4 linked regions of the Drosophila melanogaster genome follow. The protein of the gene in region 2 interacts with the protein of the main gene of each other region in a pairwise test. Each region holds a gene or a part of one and is shown on either strand. Other genes may lie near its edges.

Region 1 (5,580 bases), on a different chromosome or scaffold from region 2:
TACCCGTTTACTCATTCGAATAAAGCTTATGCACTGTGACAAAAAAAAAAGAAAAAATAAAAAGAAAAACCTGATGCCTTCAGCTGGCAAAGGCACACACCCACCGACTGGAAATGGGGAAAAATCGACGTTAATTTATTTCAATTTCCAAACCATTGTCTGAATATAAACAGTTCGTTAGCGAACCCAACCAGTTTTCCTAGGAGTTTTTCAAACTTTTATTAGACAAATACGAGAACGGGACACTTGAAATTACGCTTAATTGGCGGCGAAACAATGCTGAATGCCGAGGGCATTACGGGTATAAATGATAAGGAAAACTCCCTAATTACAAACAAGAATTTTCCGGGTGCGCGCAAAATAGTGAAGGAAATACAAAGAAAAGGGTTGACGAAGATCGCGCCTGGGAACCTAATAACCCCGATTTTCCACCAACTTCGACATTGGAGTTGAAGTTTTCGATAAGCCGGCGATGGAAAATAGATATATATATATATATATATGTGTGTATATGTACGTGTCCCCAAACAGCCATAGATTTTTTAATAAATATTTGAGATGGCATTTTCACTTAAGCCACGGCATGGAAATCCATTGTGTGCAAACAGGAGGTTGGTTAGCAACCCTAAGCGGAAAATTTGTTTAAACAACTGAGCAAATATCGCCCGCTGGAGAGGGGTAACTTTTTTATGTACTCCCTCTTCGCATATTTTTTTTTTTTTGGGAATTTCCCCCCCAAAAAACAAAAAGAAATTGAAAATTGCTAAGCCGGCAATCAAAATACAAACATCAGGCGAAACTCAACGAGTACCATTGTTGTCCAACTGAAGCACCTGAATTTATGGCACAAGGACATACCACCACACACACACACACACACCTCCCCCCCCCACACACACACAACTACCACCCCCCTGGTGAGTCACGGTTTAAATGTGCATTTCGCAACACATTTACGATCCTTTCTACTCGTAATCCCTTCAATCGCGCTCTAAACTGCTAACTGGTTCCTGATTCCCCAGGATTCCTGGTCGCTGGCGCTTTGTTGCTCTAAATAGCCCTTTCCAAATCACTGGACTCGCACAAAGGACTCGCCCTCAATTGCGCAACTATTTCGATTTCAAAAAAAAAAAATCAAATTAAATAAAATAAAATAAGTGAAGAGGAGAGAAATGGGCCAAACTGGGCGCGCAGCCAAAGAGGATATTTAGTTATATATGAAAATAAAGTTTCAAAGGATCTCAACTATAGAATTTGAAGGCACCTATTGGCCTATTAAAACGATTTATACAGATATGTTTCTTTTCGTATTCAAGTAAAGTAAAAAGGCGAAAAAATTAAAAATGGAACAGTAGCTCCAAGATGACCAACGATGACGGTCAAGAGACGGATGCGGGCTCCACAGTCCAAGAAGGTGATATCGTTCTTCAAGAATCATCGCCGCATGCTCCGCAGGCAGGGCATCGAGGATCTGCTGCATCTGGCCGAACGTGGCCACGTCGAACCGATTAGAGATAGAGACTAGGAGATCGGCATCGAATGCTACATATACGGTATTTATTCCACATTTCCATTCAAATTTGAAAAGCTTAGTTTAAGTTCTAGGATTATTGAATTCCTCTTGCATTTAAATATTTTGTAGTCTACTTTTAGCCGTCTTTAAGAACGACTTCAACCCTCTGCTAATCAGAATGTTAATTCTAAAGCTGGTCGCATTTCTTATTAGAATAGCGTTAGATGTTTTGCGTACTCATCAAAAATTTCCCAATTGAATTAATCATTACTTATGCTACTACTTATGCAGCATTGTCCTTCCTGGCATTGACTGTGACTATTACTATATTATTGTAGGAAGGACTGCACGCATACCAAGAGCGCGATAAATAGCGATGACAGCAGCGAATTTTCCCGCAACGAAGCCGACGACCAGCGAACTTAAGCTCTTTTGGCCATCTAAAGGATGGAAACATTCGATATATTAGCCAAGCCGCTAGCCAGTAACTTATATAACCCATATTAGCTATTTCAAGATTTAATAAATTGTTCCGGAGGCCATATATTTAAAAAATGTTGGTTTGCTCATATTTGATTTTTAACCATTACATATAAGGCTGAACAGCTTTTTCTAGCCAGGCTGGCAGCACTGCCGGATCAGCTGACTGACTTTTCTGTGTGCGCGCCATCCCTAGAAATTAACGTGCTAGTGGAAGTGGAAGCGAATTGAAATCGCGCGCTGCTCTATTCGCTTGTTTATGCCAAAGTCCATGGCTACATTGGATCGGATCTGTAATTAGTCGTCTGGAGGAACTGGACGGATTGGCTCAGTGACACCATTAGCCATTGACTTTTCTAGTGAGTTCGAGTTCCACACAATGTTCTATTCTAGCGCAGATATGGAATAAAAAAAAATATATTTGGCTTGGTTTGTTATGTAAAACGCGTATCAATTCTCTGGCGCGTTGATAACAGCAGCAATTCAGTTGATAAACAAACACAAAACCCATGCGGAAACAATTGAAACGACCCCACACCCCAACACCGCCACCCACCACCCACACGCACCTTGGGTTGTCGCTCAAGGTTGCGCTAGAGATGAGCAGGAAGCAGTGACTGCTATCGTGATTGCCATTAATATTAGTATTAGTATTAGTATAGTGATAACACAGTTTTTTATATATATGTACATATATAGTGATACTTTCAGTTGAATCTATATTTTAGTTTCATTATACTCATGTCACCGGTTTTCTGTCAAAGTCACACTGTTCTGCGCATCTCTATCGCCACTATTTGTTACTGACGTTAGCGCCAAATTCGAAATGTCAAGAACAGAAATCCGAACGTAACAGCGGCCATATCGCTTATCTAGCGACGGCGGCAGATAGTGGCAACCTGCTCCTCCGTCTCGCTCTGCTCCGCCCATCGCAGCAGATTTGCATCGTTGTTTGGAGCCATGCGGCTATTTCACCTCTTTCACCTGTCTGTTTGCCTCGTTTCACACACACACACAGCATGCCCAGGAATTGGCTTCACCTCGCATTGTGGATAAACTGAGACGGTAAAGTCGTTGTCGCCGCCACCGCCTCCGCCACGCCCACCAAGCGGACAGCACCCAGATCTCCGGTTGCGAACTAGTAGTGACGCCAACGTGGTCGATCGCCGTCGTCGTCATCAACAACGTTGTGTTCGTCGAACTGTGAGATTATTTAATGTTGGCCACCGGTTTTCTGGCTCGCAGAACCGTACTTAACCAGCCGGCGTTCAATTCATGGAGCACACTCCTCCGGACCGCTAGAAAACGACCCACATCCACGGTTGCCGCCAGAGTTCCATTAAAGCTTCAGTCACAGCAGCAATTTACAAGAGCATACTCGTCGTAAGAATTGAAAGATGTACATACATATGTATTTAACACATGATTGAAAACTATTTGTATCCCACGATTTAGCTCCAAAACCATGGACACGCCGGCGGATGTATTCCGCGGCATTACGGATCGATTTGCCGGAGTAACAGTCGATGGGCGCGAGGAGAACGTGGACAAATCCAGTTTCCGGGACAAGCTCACAAGTAAGAATATATATCTTAAAATATGTCGGTATCTTTGCCTGGACGTATATTTTTTGTATCATTGTATCTTCTAAGTCTTCGTGCTATCATAAGTTGATTAAAAGTTTATCTATCTAAAGTTGGGGTACTAAATTAAATTTCCAAAATCATTGCTCTCCACTTTTATCAATTTAAAAGTTGTCTATGACTATAAATAGTCATAGACAATAAACGGCTTATAATTTTAATTAAATCTGTGTCACCAATTACCAAATTATATTAATAACGAAATACCTTTTAGAATCCCTGGACTTTTGGACGACGAACAAGAACCGGGCCATTTGGTTCCGCGTGTACAAGGAGCAGGCTGATTGGGTGCCCATTCTGGCGGAGAACGGCTTTGATTTCCATCATGCCAAGACCGGTGTGGTGGTCATGTACCGCTGGTTGCCGGAGCACGAGTCTAGCAACCTACCCACCTACGCCCACACGCTAATGGGCGTCGGCGGACTGGTTATCAACGAACAGGACGAGGTGCTGGTGGTGTCCGATCGTTTTGCAATGATACCAAACAGCTGGAAGCTGCCCGGCGGCTATGTGGAGCCGCGGGAGAATCTCATCGATGCGGCAATACGAGAGGTGGCCGAGGAGACGGGAATCCGCACCGAATTCCGCTCAGTGGTCAGTCTGCGGCATGCCCATGGCGGCACCTTCGGCTGCTCCGACATGTACGTGGTCATCGCCCTAAAGCCACTGAATTTGGACTTTACGCGCTGCGAACGCGAGATAGCGCGCATCCAGTGGATGCCCATCGCGGAGTATCTGAAGCATCCGCAGGTCCACGAGACGAACAGGCAGTTCGTCTGCACCTTTTTGGACTACCAGAAGCGCGGCCTGACCCTCACCTGTCGCGACGAAGTGCATCAGGTGCTAAAGAAGAAATACAATCTGTATTACGTGGATCGGGAGCAGCCACAGGAGCAGCAGGATAAAAAGAATTCGTGAGACTTGTCGGTGCAATGGCCAAATCCTTAGTGCAATTTTTATAAAGTCCTTTCTTCCAAAAGCCAGCAGCATCACAACTGCGCATTCAAATGTTCACAATGTAGTCAATAAATGAATTTTTTTGTATATAATTATATGCATATATCAATTAAAGCTCACACAGCCTTTTACAAAAGCTTTTCTTTTGATACCATTTTTAGAAACGCCAATAATTTAAAATATGGCATTATTTTGAATATGACGCCCAAACATGGTAAATACTTCCTTAGAAGGTAAGCCAATAAGGATTAAGGATGTAAGCTTCATACTTTGAAAAATATGTTTATTAAAAACAAAAATGAAAAGAAATTATTATTCTCTCCTGTTTTTTTCAACTTATTTTCAATGATATGCAAAAACCAGAAGTCGCACAAATGAGACGAAACTCGCATACGTAATGATTCTAAAAAGTTGTGGTTTGATGTACTATAATTTCCAAACGAAACATAGGCCATTTATTGGGTCAAGTTGATTTTAAACTCTTTGTTGTACGAATGCCATCTATAGACCCGTGGCCTCGGATATCGGCCAGATGCGGCAGAGCACGCGGCTCCGGATGAGGCCCACCGGAATGGGTCCGTAGTAGCGGGAATCCGAGCTGTTTCCCTTGTTGTCACCCTCAATCCAAACGTGTCCGCGCGGCACATAGTCCTTGACCATCACGGGCTTCTTCTTGTCATCCGAATTACCACTAAACTCCGCCTCAATGGGAATGGGCTTCTGGATTAGCACCTGATCACCGGAAACGGCCACGATACGCTTGCAAATGAACTGATCGGCTTTGATGGGCGATATGGCGATGACTATGTCGCCGGGCTGGTAGGTTCGCCAGTGTTTCGACAAGCGCTCGGTGAGAAGAACGTTGTCCGAGTGCAGGGTGGGCTCCATGGAGGGTCCTTTGCACTGGAAATGGTTGCATTAATGTGAGTGTACGTACTTTTCCGCAAAAGAAGGATATCAAGTGGAAGTTACACAAGGTGGAAAAAC
Region 2 (4,490 bases):
AAAGTTTTTACGACGTGACTCCTTCAAAACGGCTGGCGAACAGGCGGGGAGAAAGCTTGCAGCCTGACATTGAACTTGGGGGCACTCTGAACAGAATTCTATTAATCACAGGGTGCCGCAGCTTTTTGGGGCAACTTTCACCAACCATTTTTGCAGCTGCCACACTCCAACAGATTGTTGCCAGTTGCAGCCATCGATTTCGTCGCAAATACGTACATATTCACACATTTAGAGCGCGCCATTTCAAAACTTTAGCTCAAAGCTTGAACTGCACAGTGCACTTTCTTCCTTGCTCCCCCATTAGAATAAGACTTCAATTCATCTCAACAGCTGTCTTGGCAACAGAGAAGCTTTCTCCACTGCCTGTTGCATCCTTGTTGTCATTACAAGAATGCAGATGATCATTCACTTGGAGCAGTAACAAATTAATGCCACAATTCATGAACAAGTCTGTAGTGGTCCACCCCAGCCACGTCCACCGTCCACTTTGCATGGCCCATTTGGTCGACTTCCTGCGGTCCAATTACCATTGGCTCCTCCCGCCCCATTGTGATTATAAGCTTTGGGACGGCAGGCGGCTCTCCGATCCGCTGACATCAGCAAGCGCAGCAAACAGCAGCCGCTGCAGCAGCAGCAGGAGCAGATGATTTTCCGGTTTGCCAGGGACCGAAAAACTGGTTTCGAATGGCGAAAAAAAAATGAAACAAACGACAGGCTGACCGAATCGAATCGAGCGCTGCCCTTTTGCACAGTCGGGCCAAAAAGACAATACAGTGCGGAGTGTTTGTTACATGTTAGAGCGTATATATATTTTGAAAAGTACGTGTGCGGAATTGAACAATACAATTGGCTTAGAAATCGACGGGCTTGATGGTGATGAACCGGGAGAGAATGAAGGCCACCAGAATGGTGGCGCACACGAAACAGAAGGCGAACATGTAGAAGCTCTCCTCGGTGAAGATGTCGGAGAATGCGGGTATATCCTGGTAGATCTTCTCGATCACCGCCAGTGTTCCTTTGTGCTTCCTCACCATCCTGATGGTTACTTCTTCTTGGTTGCCTTCTTTCCGCCGCCGGCGCCTCCTGCTAGTTTCTGTTTCTCCGCCTTGGTCAGGACCTTGTTGGTGATCTCCTCGCGCGGTGCCAAGCTGGACACGTGCTTGTTGCACAGCTGCAGCAGCTCTAGTGTGTTTAGGTTATCGCTGTTGAAGCGGATCTCCTTGACTTGGGCTTGTTCTGTGAATGATATAATATCAATAAGTGTTTGCTCTTTGAATGTTGCAGTTTCAAAAGGGTTAACTTAGTTGCCCACGCTAAAAGGAAACCAATTTTTCAATACATATTTCATATGTATTTTGGTTCCTTTTAGTTAGATATTTCAGCTGTCCCAGTTTAGGTATTCTTACCTTGCGCTGAATCAATCAGGGCAAACTTGATGTTGGCCGGCTGGCGATCGCAGACGATTTCTGGCTTGACCACGCACTTGGGATTCGTAGCTGCCACTTTGGGTGTGGAGAGCAGGAAGAGGAATTCCCTGAAATTAGAATTGAAATAGATATCTAGATTATTGATTTATCATCACGATTTACTTGATTTTTCAGGAGCAGCGACGCCGCCTCAAACTGACGCCGACACCGACTAAAATGTCCACGGAGCGTGAGCTGGCTCCCGGTGGGCCAGCTCAGCTCCATCCGCACACGCTGCCGCTGACTTTTCCGGATCTCCAGATGACCTCCACCGTGGGCATCATTGGGAAAGTCTACGGTGAGTGTGGCACGCATTTATTTCATTCCCCAACCCCATCACCTTTTTAGCCCTCGAAGGATCGGTTTTTCTGGTGTGAATACTTCACTGCACCCTTTTTGGTTTTTCTCAGTTTCTTCTTAGTATGATTTTCTTTTTCCTTTCGGTTTCGTGAAAATTCTATCCAATTTGAGTGGTGAATAGGGGGTGTAGTGCGCATGTCCCGCTATCGATATCGGTGAAAAGCGCTTTTCCGACTCACCGTGTGGACTTGACATTTTCCGCGAATGGATCGAACTGCACGGTTATCCGCTTGACGCCCTTCAAATTCACGCTCTTCAGCTGCTTGCCAATGGCGGACACAATGCCGCCGGAACGCCGCAATGCGCCACTGAAAGGCACAGACATTATTTATGTTTTTTTCACGGCGGCAATGAAAACTCTGCGGTTTTTCCGCACAAAATTTACGACGTAACAAACACGCTACGTAACAGCTGAGCGACGATAGCGATAACGGGCCCACTCACGATGACCGCCGATGGTTGTACAACACTGGCATTAGCAACCCTGCCTCGCTATGCCCAGATGCTGCTTGTATAGTCATCTCGCTCACTCGCACGGCTGCGGGCGAGAGTGCTTTGCCCTCATTTAAGTGTGGTTAAGAGTGTACAGCATGCGTCACGCTCACACGTCGCGAGTACAATTTTTGTGTGGACGTCCAGTGTGTGGCTGCTGTGGGAAAAGCTGAAGAAAATTGCATTTTTTGCATAATGCGCGGCGTGAAAAGCTAACAAAAGTTGTGCTAAATCAAAATTCGATAGTCTGGCCACGGTTTGTGCATAAGAGCGGGCGGCGCGAACGTGTTTGGTGCACAAAAACCACGTCTCGAAAAATTAAGAATTCTACGTGCACACATTTTTTGGGCTGCCATATATAAAAAAAAAACGCATACAAACGCATTTTCTTGCTGTATATGCGGAGGAGCACACACACACACACAGAGCGACAGACACGCATACAATTGCACTCACGAGATATGCGAGCATAAAGAAGAATTTTTTCTTAGTTGTATTACAAGAGCATTAGATACATATATAAGTATATAAATATACATATATACACGCCTAGGTGTGTACATAAAAGATACATACATATAAAATTAAACGAAAGCTGTGCCTACATTTGTGTTCTTTTCCAATACTAAAATAACAACAACAAACAATAATAATAATAATAATAATCATACGAGTAATATAAATAAAATAATGCAAGTCGAGCGAGAGACAGCGACAAGATAGCACACCCACTTGTCTGCTCATAATTCCAATTTATATATAATAAGCCTACGCCACGCCCACGCGCAACTACAACAACAAAAAACAAAACAAATGCAAAATCAACCAAACGAATAAAACTTTAAACTACTTTAAAGTGTGATAAGCAAAAGGCTGAAATCAAAAACAAAAAAAAAAACAAAATAATTAGTAGAAAACCAAAAGCAAAGGCAACAACAAATACAACAACAACAAAGAAACAAACAATCAATTACATTTTACACCAAAACACGAAAAGCAAACACGAGCCAACATTTTTTACATTAATTATTTTTCTTAAACCAAAACCTAACTTAGTGCAAAAACATGTATCCAGTTGGACAACGTAAGTGGCTAGCAAATGATGATTGCGACTAAAAGAACAGACAGACAATTTCCAGACAGAACAAAAAGAAGAATACAAAAATAGGCGATTGCTGCCACAAGTTTCCCTCACACCATGCCACACAGCCCCCCAGCTCCCCTTCGCCCAGCCGCCCACTAATCAAGTTTTCGATGTTCTACTTGCACCTTTATGCATATACATATGTGATACATACACACGTGCAAATGCCACACAGACAGACACGTGCGTCAAAGTGCAGAGTTGAAAATGCGCAAAAATTGGGTCAACAACCTTCGTCGCGTCGCAATAGTTTCCAGCTTTTACGGGGGTTAATCTCTGGCGTCTTTTTTGGGGCCTGCGTCTCGAATTTATTCGAATTCGGTTTCGTATATGGATCTGGGTTTTTTTTGAAGAGCAGTCACTCCCAATTGCGTCGCAATTTGCCACCAATTGTGCGTATTTCATTTAAATATTTATGCTTCAATGGGGTGAAAACGTAGAAGTCGTCGAATATGAAAAGAGTTTGCTGGGGAAGGAAGGGATCGTCGAAAAATATGATTCTTTTGTTTGAAATCTGAATATATTTAATGGGATCTTACCAACAGCGATTGTTGTTTATGCCAGAGAACTTCAAAATAGGTACCCTTTTCCAATATCATATGTCATATTTTTTTTATCACAATAAACAACATCATGGGATTATAATCTATAAGCGCTAGAATCTTTGTATTATATATACCAGTATTGTGTAGATTTGGTTTAAAGATAATGATTTAACTATCAGTTAATTAAGCATACAGTTTAGATAGGTGGTCGAAGCACTTGGTAGAACATCAAAACTTAAACCACCTGCAAAGGAACCCAGGGAACAAGGATGATATAACTGCAAAATATTAACAAAATGGTGGCTAACGCGGGACTTGCATACAAATCAAATAACCAATCGACCTACTAAGTAACTGGACAAAGGGGCAAACAACTTGTGGCAGCAGGTGGCATACAAACTCTATAAAGATACTATATACAAATATAAACGGAAATACACACACATATACATACATATTATATATATATATATATCTATTGAT
Region 3 (5,749 bases), 6.3 Mb from region 2:
CTTGGCCAATAGTGTGGAAACGGACAAGTTTGGGGTGGTAAAGCACCTAGTTATAAAACCGAAAATCAAAAAAACAATCTAGATATGTGTTCATCATTACTTACTCTATGTACGGTTCCATTTCCTCCATCGTCCATCTCTTTTTAGTCTTAAATAGCGCCCGCATGCGATCGCTTATATTGGTGGGCAGTAACTCCTCTGCCAGGGAGCGTATGCAAGGCTGCGCTCCCTCCTTGTCGCAAATGCCCAGACCTCGTAGGTACTTTAAGTCGCAGGACATGCCCTCGGGCAGTACCTCCTGCCAGGTGCGCATGAACTCCTCGTTGCGAAAGCGCAAACCCGGCTGAAGAATGTTCTGTGCCACAATGCGGGAGACCAAGGACTCCTGGTACTCAAACTTGCCCGGGCAACGTTCACTGGGAATGGTATAGATATCAAACAGCCCAGCCACAACATCCTCTGGAGCTATGCCCTTCAGTGCATTGATGGTCTCCTCCCGTTCCACTTCGTCCAAGGCCCAGGAGTTTTCGCTTATCAAACCCAGCATCATGTTAATAATGCGATACTCGTATTCGTACTCCATCACGCGCATTCGCCCGTCCAGTTCTATGGCTCGATATTGGTTCAATCCCTCCATGAACTGACCGCGGCTGCACTGCACCGTGTCCAGGAGCTGCGAAAAGGTAAAGAGTAGCTTCTGCTCCACGCAGAACTCGTTCTCCGGCCCCGAATATCGAGTCAGCTGCAGTAGTTCACCCAGCTTGCGAAAGCGCGGCTTTATCTCGCGGCACTCGAAGTACTCGTGGAACACCTTGAGCACCGGCCGCTGCTCCAGAGTTCGCGGCACTTCCAGTTCATCCTCCGTGCTGTCATTGAGGCTGCGCTCCAGGGAGGCGTTGGCGTTGCCAGTGCGCGGACTCTTCAGCGGCGAGGTGCTGGTGGCGGCGGCAAACTTGAGGTCCGGTACCAGCAAAAGGCTATTGGATATTTCCGCGCCCTTCACGTCGTACGTTCGCTCATCGGTGCACAGCACCAGCTTCTCGTTCTGGCCACCCTTGAAATATAGCGTCTGGCCGTCGCGGATTTGTCCAAGCATGTGCCCATCGAGCTCCAGAAGGCGCAGATTGTCCGAATCCACGTCCGCCGAGGGAAAGTACAGAGCCTGGGTGAGTTGGGTCAACTGGCGCTCGTCCAGTTTCGCATGCTTCACAATGGCCTTCACATCCTCCGGCGTGCGAACGTAGCTATGGCGGGTGGTTGGGTAACATTATAACTCCTACGCAGGCATACCAAAGGCACTCACAGCTGGGCAGCAGACTCATCAACCTCCATGGATTCCATGTTCGCTGCATGTAAACAAAACAAAAAATTAACCAAAACAATGAGCGGGAAAAAGTAGTGGGACCAAAGCACAGCAATGTTGCTTTCGTTGAGGGTATTCAATGGCCTTTCAATATGTAAGCTTAATGTGCTTGGAAAACATTACAGCATTAATCCGCACACCCTGCAAGGGCACACTCACCGCTCAGCTGATCAGTTATTTAACGGTCGTAGCCTCGGCAAGAACGTTTCTTTTTTGAGCGGAGATTTCGCGAGCACGCGTCTTGTTTTCCGCCGTTCGCCGTGCACTTGGACGCGCACTTTAGAAAGCGTTGACTGCGCCAAAGGTCATTGCTGGGCAAGAGAAGCGTCCAATCGCCGCTGGTGGTGACGCTTGTGGAAAAATCAATTCGGACCAGTGACGGACGTCGAACTTCCAGTTCTCTGACAAGCGGAATCCAGTCAACAACAACATGCCCGTGGGAACGTTTGACGCCTGGGATGCGGCCGTGCTGATCACCATCCTGGTCATATCGGCTCTGATTGGCATCTACTACCGGTATACAGGCGGCAAGCAAAAGACCACACAGGAGTATCTGATGGCGGACCAGAGCATGACCACTTTTCCGGTCTCCTTCAGCCTGATGGCAAGCTTCATGTCCGCCATCTCACTGATGGGCGTCTCCAACGAGTCCTACGAATTTGGTACCATCTTCTGTGTGATCAACATTGCCTACGTGCTGAGTACGCCCATTGCCGCGTACTTCTTCCTTCCTGTTTTCTACAGGATGCGGACGACCAGTGTGTACGAGTATCTGGAGCGGCGCTTTGGCCAGGCCACCCGGCTGTCCGCCTCCCTGGCCTTCACCGTGCAAATGGTGCTTTACATGGGCATTGCACTCTATGCACCAGCGCTCGCTTTAGAAGCTGTAACCGGCATTCATCGGTCAATGGCCATCGTGGTCATTGGACTGGTGTGCACCTTCTATTCGACACTTGGCGGCCTGAAGGCGGTGCTCATCACGGATGTGTTTCAGTCCTTCCTCATGTTTGCCGCCATCTACGCCGTGATTGCCGTGTCGGCCATTAAAGCCGGCGGATTCGCGGCCATCTGGGATGTGGCTGTGGAGCGAGGACGCGTGAACTTCATTGAGTTTTCATTGGATCCCACCGTGAGGCATACTTGGTGGTCTCTGATCATTGGCGGCATGGTCACTTACCTCTCCTTGTATGGCGTTAATCAAACGCAAGTACAGCGACTCCTGAGTGTCCGCAATTTGAAGAGCGCTCAGTCGGCGCTTTGGTGGAACCTGCCCATCCTAGGAATGCTTAGTTTTAGCACCATTTTCAGTGGACTGTCCATATTCTACTATTATCGAGATTGTGACCCTTTGCTAAAGGGACGCATCGACAAGCGGGATCAGATCATGCCCCTTTTCGCACTGGAGACTATGGGTGAGTTGGAAAGACATCCAATAAGAATTAGCATTATTTGATTTCTTTTTCCGGCAGGTCAATATCCTGGACTGTGTGGTCTGTTCGTGTCCGGAATATTCTCCGCCAGTCTTTCCACGATTTCGTCGGCAGTTACCTCGCTGTCGGCTGTAACACTGGAGGATTACCTGAAGCCCTTGTACAAGGCGATATTTAAACGGACGCTAATTGACTCCAAGTCCACGATGCCCACCAAGATTGTGGCGTGCATTTTTGGCCTGCTTTGCATCGGTCTAGCTTTTGTCGCTGGCTCCATGGGCGGAGTTCTTCAGGCATCGCTTACCATTTTCGGTGTGGTAGGCGGTCCGCTGCTGGCCATTTTCACACTGGGAGTCTGCACTACACGCAGCAACCAAAGAGGCGTGCTGCTTGGCTTCCTCGTTTCCCTGATAGTTTCCTTCTGGATGGGATTCGGCGGACCCAAACCAAAGCCAGTTACCTTGGAGTTTAGCACAGCGGGCTGTGAGAATGCCACCGCGGTAATGGCGCGTGCCATCGAGCTCAGCTCAAAGAGCAGCGGAGTGGTCATCGAACCCGACTACTTCTGGTTATATCGAATTTCTTACTTGTGGCTGAGCGTCATCGGCTTTCTTATTGCCGTGGTCGTCGGCTATTTCAGCAGCATTGTGCTGGCTCACTGTGGAAAGGCAGAAAACGCGGAAATCTATTTGGACAAGTCTCGGAAGCAGCTGGACTACGATCTCTTCGCACCCATGCTGTCCCGCCGCTGGCGACGCCATAAAGAAGAACAAGACCAAACTGCCCAGGACGAAACGCTCACCAAACTAACTGAGCAGTAGTTCCGCCCGGCTTAGATTTAGTGTAGAATATATACATACATATAAAAGAATTTCCAGAAGGCGTCGGCTATTTGGTTAGTCGTGTTACGGATGTCGTACCTAAAAGTGCATAACTATGTGACCTTTTTGTATACCTGTGTGAACGAAACTGGCATACAGAGCGACCAAAACAGAGTCTTCCATATACACGTAAACAACGATAATTAGTAGTTATTAGTCGTGTTGCAAATGTTCACAAGCGCATCATTAAGAGGCCTCTTAAGAATAGTCAAATGTTTTTTACAAGAACGTATCAAAAGTAGGAGTCTACCTCAATGAACTTTTACAGAGGGACAATAATCAATTTGGAGCCTAAAAGCGAGTTGGCCGACTACTTTCCCATGTTGAGCATTGGCAGCCACAATGCCCCACATAAATTATTGATTTAGTAGTACATCTAATTTTAATGGGATATTTATATTCATACCTCTTAGTTACTCGATATTTGCATACATAGATAACATAATAACATTACAATAATACACTACAGTGAGCACCGCCTATAAATAGTTACTACATGGCTCTTAAAGCATTACATTGCGCCACAGTGTGAATTCTGTTTACTTATATACCTCTACTATATGTACACAAATATACTATAGACTAATTATATACTCGTGTCGTGTCGCAATCAACCATTGAACAATAACTCGGAGCAGTGAAAGTTATGTGTATTTGTAAAAGCCAAACTGCTGATCATTAAAGAAATCTGTTCTACAAAATGTGATTGCCTTTTTTTTTATTTGCTGCGGAAACATGATACTTGCAATCCCCAGCTGCAGCTTGGATTGAAATAATTACTTCGGTTGGCTCATGGGTGTTTTTCAGAAATCACGATTTGTCGAATACTTCCTGCGATAAGCAAATTCGTACGCTATCAGCTACCAAGGTTATGCGAGGCTCTCCCAACATTGCTCACTCGATGAGGAATCTATTTCGGAACGAATGCCATAACTTTCAAGCGTTTACCTTTGCCAATTGACTATTGCGCCATGCGGGAACAAAGTCTAATTGCGGGTCGGAGACAGCAAATTGCTTAAAATTGGAGAAGCCATGGGTCAGCATGTGAATATGGGTTCGCCTGTAAACAAATGCCAATTGATAGATTTGTCGAAACATCATTAATAAACCCAGACCACGCTCGTCTTGCTCATGGAAAGTTTTCAGAACGGATTGGGAGTTCAAAGTACGAATAGACTCGCATGACACACATTTTTGGCTAATGTTCTGGCGAAAGAGGAGACCAAAAGCGGTGGATAACATAGTTACGCCATAACCGATTTTTGTTTACTCTAACTTAGTGTGCGATTTACTATTTTTAACAATATTTATGTTAACCAACAAGAATCTTAAGGCATTTATTTGTATTCATTAGCAACGTCATAAAATATAATAACCATACAGATTTACATATAAGAGTATCAATTTGGCGACTGATGATTGTTTAGCCTTCATTTTTGCAACGCCAACAGATGATTTGGGCGATTTGTTAGCATTCGGAAGCAAAGCTTTCACAGATAGTTTCGCTGATACGATAAGGGTTTCGTTTGGATAGCATTCATTGAAGTGATTCATTGGGGAAGATTTATGGTTCTATTGATTCTGCTTCCTCACAAACTTCATGAACACATCCTGGAAAGTTGTATGGCTGACCGAGTAGTACAATATCTGCATCTCATCCTTCAAGTTCTCCATGTACTCGAAGATCGCGGACCACTTAATCTGCCCTCTGGGAATGCAGAAGGTGATCATGCCACGGTAGGAGTACTTCTCGCTGGGGGGAACAATTAATTATAATTAATTAAATATATACAACTCTTAGCTCTTTAAATAAATTACAATAACTATTATGCTCGATTGAGATGTAAGGTCATAATAACTTTCCTTTAATCAATCATGACTTTCTTATACACAACGTAAACAAGATTATTTTCATTTCTGTGCCAGTATGCGCGATTTGCCCAGACTATTTATATATGAGTATATTATTTGTAAATAAACCATATTCACATCCAAAGTGAGCAGCAAATGTTTATGTAGATATCTGTGTGCGTGCACTAGTGTATTGAAAATTTCAATCTGCTGTTGCAAGTGGT
Region 4 (5,404 bases), on a different chromosome or scaffold from region 2:
TGACGACATGGCGACACCGGGACCCATATAAAATCCGCCGGTCTGCAGGCGTCGCACTCAGTTAACATGTTCGCGTCCCAAGGGAAGTTACTTTTGGCCTTTGGCCTTTGCCTCGGTCTCCTTCTAACCATAGCGCACGCATCCGCACAGAACGCGTCCAAGGAATCAGAGTCCTGGCAGCCCATGCAGCCGCGGAAACGACAGGCTATCGTGAAACTGGACCCCGTGGGCTCCGCAGTAGCCAAGAGCTACGATCCTCCCCCGGAGTTCTACCGCGGACCGGGCTCATCGTCATCCAAGTTGGATAGCACTGCAGCTGGCTTCATATCCAAGCCCATTGGTGCGCTGCCGCCTTTTGGAGGAGCTCATGGCTCCCAAGCTAGTGACCTAAATGATAACCTTAGCCAGGCCTATGATAAGTGGAAACTAGGTGGGAATATACACGATCGAATAAGCGTGGGTGAGTTCAAAGATTACTCAATCTATATATTCTACAAAGATAAACTCAAACTTAAAATGATTAATATTTGAAATTGATGACTGTTGTTTATTGTAGATTTCATTAAAAATATATTTAATACTATTTAAGGGCATTATGGCAGCAGTGGAAGTGCTGGCAAAAGTTACGCCTATGACAGTCAACCTTATCAGTATGACTACGGACCATCCAACGGACATGGCTATGAGCCAGGACCTGCTCCTGGGCACACCTACTCCTCCAGCGGAGAGGCAGGGGTGCCATACCACGTTTATCGACCTCGACCCGAACATGGCCACTACCCGGGGCCAGCAGTGGATTACTCCTACAGCTCCTACCCCATCGACTCCCACGAGATAGTCTCCCACAAGGGATCGCCAGAGATCTCACCAAAGGCCTTGCTGGCCAAAAGCTTCCTGATTCCGCTGGCCAGTGCCACCGTTCTGGGCATCGCCGCCGCCCTGGTCAGTAATCCTCTCCTGCTGCAACTAGCTCCTGTTCCGGGGATCGGTGTGGGAGTGGGTGTCGGACCTACAGTCGTTGGCAAACGAAGAAGGAGAAGAAGGGCAGTGAAGCGGGCTTTACGATCAGGGAATACTGATGCAAAACTGAATAGCTCTATCTAAGTACCGTCCTCTCGAAAATGTATTAAATCAGGAAACAATATATAAGATATTATTTTTAATATATCATATAGTTACAAGCGTGTTTTTTATTTAAAGTCAGTGATGGCATTTAAATAATTTTAATAATTTAAATAATTTAAATTAAGGGTCTAATGCTACGAGAGCCTAATAATTAGTTGTCTATATGGAGAGAATAAGATAACGTAATTTTAAGTGACTTGTGGAACCTTTTGTAATGGCTATATGTAAGTTTTTTTTTTACATTAGATTGCGTAATTAGTCGACTGAGGTTCAAACCGGCTCGTTGGTCTAGAGGTATGATTCTCGCTTCGGGTGCGAGAGGTCCCGGGTTCAATTCCCGGACGAGCCCCAGTCATCCCAGTGCGCTAAGGAATGTATAATTTTTAAACAAAAAAGTTATATTTTATAAATATTTATTTTAAAATATTTTTAAGTTATTGAGAATACACATTTAGTTGCATGTGTACACAATTATATACAATTTACTTAGGGAATGAAATAAATTAAAAGTTATTTTATATCATTAAAAACAAACTAAATTAAATTAAATTAAGGAATTTTTTAGCGTCCTCATAAATGTTGCAAAATTGTTGAGTCTTCGGTTTTGTACGGCTTATGTCATAATATATTGAAGATAGAGAAAAAATTTGTTTAAAAAACAGCTAATTTTATAACTACTCTAAAAAATATTATAAAACACTGCATTTAAATGATAAATTAAAAGTTGCTGATAAGTAATACGTTTAGAGTGGGTGAATAGCTTTAAACATTCGGATAAACAAAAAATCATTTTAAAAATCATAAAAATAATTTTAGTTCTATTAAAAAATATGATATCATGGATATTGATCCATACCAAAGAAAACATCGCCGATAGGTGTGTGTCTTCGCTAGGGAAAGTGTCTCCGCTAAGGTATCTTGAGCCAACAAAGTACATAACGCGTTTCATTCCAAACGGTATTTATTTTTTGACCTTGTGGTATTCTAACTTTTTGTCTGTGCTATCACTTACAAACAAGTTTTCCCGGCATTTTCGACCTATTCAGGTGATTTTCTAATAATTATCACATAGTAGGCAATGAATTTTACACGGACTAATTGGTAAGTGACAGAAACTAGTGTAGAATTCAGAAAATTAACCCATGAATGCTCCTCAGCTCGCCGCTGAGTAAAAACCCAGTGGTGCAGCGCAGCCTGGACTTGCGATTGCAGGGCGCCCAAGCGCGGCATTACCTCAAGTGGTGCTCCATAAATGTGGTGCTGCTGTCGCTACTCCTCTTCGACCTCTGGCAGGCATGTCGGTCCGCCTACAGGACCTACTGGTTCCTGGCGGAGTGCACCATTACGACCCTGATTGGCCTAAGTGCACTCGCCTGCTTCGGCAAGTATTTGTGGTTATGGTTTGGTGGTGACCAAGTTACGGGTAGCGATATCCAAAAGTGGCTGCTTGATGGCAAGGCAGGTGAGGAATCCAAAGGAACCCGTTCTAACGCATCCACTTAACCACTTTTATTCCTATAGAGAACTCTTTTCGTACAGTTTGCTCCCGAGCCGTGATGAAACCACGCAGCTACGAACCGGATAGCGATATAGAGGACGACATACCCATCATCAACTGGCACTCCTCCTTCGAGGACTCCTGCTGGGGCTCGCAATCCATGCGCCGCAGCCCCAGTCCCACAAGGACGCCGCAGCAGACGAAACAAAACACCTCTTACAACTCCTCGATGGTTCGAAACAACTCGCTGAATGCCAGCAATCTGAGCAACGAGTCTACCTATATGTCCCCGTATGCGGAGGTGCGACGCGATGACTTCATGACCGATACACGAAAGTTGACCAGTCTAATGAAGCAGGCGGATCGGGAGCGCAGCATGATGGACAGCTCGGATACACCCAATGTGCAGAGCATGGGATCGGCCAACTCCTTCTGGAACTACTGCAACAATGCGGCCTATATGCTCAAGACCACCATCTATCAACTATCGCCACCTCCGGCTGTTTCTACGGAAAATGCTCCCACCTCGATTGAGGAGTTTGGCGGTATTCAGTTTAGGGACAGCAATTCGGAGGTCATCAAGCGCATATCCACGGACAAACTGTCGCAATATGTGGCCAACCTAAGATTTGTAAGCATCCCGTTCAATATTCCACTGCAACGTACTAATGTCTTACCATTTTCTAGTGGATTTCTACGACCATACTTCAGCGTTTGGTCAAAGAGATCAATTATGTGGACGATGTTTTCCGCCAGCGAGCTCTGATTGACATTAAAATTGGATCTGTGAGTGTAGAGAGATTACGCAAAACAGCCGAGAACCAGCAGTTCGTGCAGACGTGTGCGCCCATGTTGCCCATGCTCTTACCTTTCCTGGACACCTTCAGCAACCAGGAATACCTGGTGCAGCGCATCAAGGAGCTTGCGCAGGGCTCTTGCATAGCTGACTACCGCTGGTACTCGGGCAAAACACACAACGGTCAGCAGCGGGACGAGCATTTGCCCACCGATGCAGCTGTGAGTATACGAAATTCCGCAACTGAGCACTCTTGATTAATTGTAACCTCATTCTGCAGATAATATTCCATTTATTTTGCGTGTACTTGGATAGCCAGTTGATGCCGTTGCCGCAGGGCGGCGGACGACCCTTTCACTCCCGCTACGTGTTAATTCGCGACGAGAAGAGCTCGACCAAGGACGTGGTGAACGCAGTTCACAACAAGGCCCACTGCGCCATTTTAAGTACCGGCAACCCACTTAACCCTAAATTTAACTTTATCAGCGACAAAGAACTACACAACTGCGTCTACGATAGGAATAACCTGTTCTACGTTATCATACAGTTCCTAATTTATATGCGACAGCACCAGGACTCTGCTCTGGAGTGCGTAAATCTTGGCAAAAGTGGTATCAACATCATGTGCGTCATCGAAGACTGAACAGTGGAACTAGTGGCTATGACTTTTAATCCCACCCCTAATCACTCCTTACTTCTAAGCATGATCCTTTGTGACTCGACTAGCGTTTGGTGACTGGACAATCCTCATCATTCGTTACTATGAAATTATACATTTGTAATTATTAAGCCAACTTACGACTGTTGTGGTTTCGCGGTTATCAAGTGTCGTGTGGCCTGCGGTCTGTGCAATTAACTTGTTTGGCAGTCGGCGGTAAGCTATATTCGCGGATATGTGCACACAGGTGCCCGACTTTAATTGCCCTTTCATGATTCTCACTATTGACCAGCCAGTTGGTGACCTGGCCATTGGCTCGGCCAGCGACATGCTCCCACATGCTCGCCACTTTGCACTTCCGAAAGTGACAAAATTAATGGTTTCCGCCGACGCTGTCGACATTTTGTCGAGTGAGAGACATTGAGAAAATGCTCCAAAGTAGTGCAAAATGAAGGAGTCGCAAACGGAGACCCCTAAAGCAGGCGCCAGGACGAGCAGGACCTGGGCCCTCTCGACCAGTCACATTACCATTTCTCTTGGCCATGCTCATTTCTGGGCTCTGGCTTGACGTTGAATCGGTTGGCTGGTTATTTTAATGCCGCCCATACTCCCGGATGCCCGGATGGCTGGATGGCTGGCACCTCGGGTGAGTAATGTGCCTGGGTTGTCAACTTTACACTTTTATCCCTCGCATTATATTTGCTTTACCTACACAAACACACACACTCAGCCACCCAACCGAACCGAAGCGAACCACACACCCTGTGTGTGTGTGTGTGTGTGTGTGTGTGTGTGGAGTGATATGTTTTCCTGATACTTTTTCTCAAGTTGTAAATTGGCTTAAAAATAATTTGTCAAAGCATTTCAGCCGCGGAGTCGGGAGACGCGATGCCTAAGATGGGAATTGGAGTTGGAACTTGGAGCGTGGAACGTTAGTATCTCCTTGTGCCGAGCCATTTTCTTGTCACAATATTTGGACCCTCGCCTGCTTGAGTAAAATTCCTTTAAAGAAACGCATGTGCGCGTCTTCATATCCAATTAGAAAAGTTTTCCTTCGACTGCTTCGTAATTGTGTTGATTAGTGCGGCTCGCTGGGTTGCTCCCGAGTGGGTGGTGGCTGGGTTTCGGGCGGATTCTCCTCCTAATACCCTGCTGTTGACAAAAGAAGCCTTCTTTGATGGGTGGTGGCTGGGCGGATTGTGTGTTCCCAGCTGATGGCACTTTAAAAATAAATGCGCATTAAATTCGATTGGCAATCGTCTCACACTCTCGTTGAATGGGCTTTTTCTTTACGGCTTACACAAATTTTCATCTAATATTGCTTTGA

Evidence for each region.
Region 1: the proteins of CG33155 (region 2) and CG8128 interact in a two-hybrid assay, tested with the Drosophila melanogaster proteins (one large-scale study listed by BioGRID).
Region 3: the proteins of CG33155 (region 2) and CG10444 interact in a two-hybrid assay, tested with the Drosophila melanogaster proteins (one large-scale study listed by BioGRID).
Region 4: the proteins of CG33155 (region 2) and CG6479 interact in a two-hybrid assay, tested with the Drosophila melanogaster proteins (one large-scale study listed by BioGRID).

The regions. Positions count from the first base shown.
Region 1 is NC_004354.4:15,695,312-15,700,891, forward strand, and holds CG8128 (uncharacterized protein), read left to right. Parts: upstream 1-2,182; 5' UTR 2,183-2,352; intron 2,353-2,721; exon of another isoform or gene 2,722-3,011; 5' UTR 3,012-3,209; coding exon 3,210-3,376; intron 3,377-3,448; coding exon 3,449-3,570; intron 3,571-3,850; coding exon 3,851-4,554; 3' UTR 4,555-4,723; downstream 4,724-5,580. Other genes in the region: CG9240 (uncharacterized protein), read right to left, coding at 5,095-5,496.
Region 2 is NT_033778.4:13,951,961-13,956,450, reverse strand, and holds CG33155 (uncharacterized protein), read right to left. Parts: upstream 2,257-4,490; 5' UTR 2,152-2,256; coding exon of another isoform or gene 2,006-2,151; intron 1,954-2,005; exon of another isoform or gene 1,765-1,953; coding exon of another isoform or gene 1,644-1,764; exon of another isoform or gene 1,590-1,643; intron 1,535-1,589; coding exon of another isoform or gene 1,407-1,534; intron 1,237-1,406; coding exon of another isoform or gene 1,043-1,236; 5' UTR 1,035-1,042; coding exon 852-1,034; 3' UTR 787-851; downstream 1-786. Other genes in the region: mRpL53 (mitochondrial ribosomal protein L53), read right to left, coding at 1,043-1,236, 1,407-1,534, 2,006-2,151; AGO1 (Argonaute-1), read left to right, coding at 1,644-1,764.
Region 3 is NT_033778.4:20,270,283-20,276,031, reverse strand, and holds CG10444 (uncharacterized protein), read left to right. Parts: upstream 1-1,532; 5' UTR 1,533-1,793; coding exon 1,794-2,775; intron 2,776-2,832; coding exon 2,833-3,614; 3' UTR 3,615-4,379; downstream 4,380-5,749. Other genes in the region: CG11788 (uncharacterized protein), read right to left, coding at 1-46, 105-1,244, 1,304-1,341; CG8908 (uncharacterized protein), read right to left, coding at 5,247-5,427.
Region 4 is NT_037436.4:17,335,979-17,341,382, reverse strand, and holds CG6479 (uncharacterized protein), read left to right. Parts: upstream 1-2,120; 5' UTR 2,121-2,203; coding exon 2,204-2,226; intron 2,227-2,246; exon of another isoform or gene 2,247-2,271; coding exon of another isoform or gene 2,272-2,282; coding exon 2,283-2,587; intron 2,588-2,646; coding exon 2,647-3,254; intron 3,255-3,310; coding exon 3,311-3,640; intron 3,641-3,699; coding exon 3,700-4,062; 3' UTR 4,063-4,211; downstream 4,212-5,404. Other genes in the region: CG13727 (uncharacterized protein), read left to right, coding at 67-460, 590-1,104.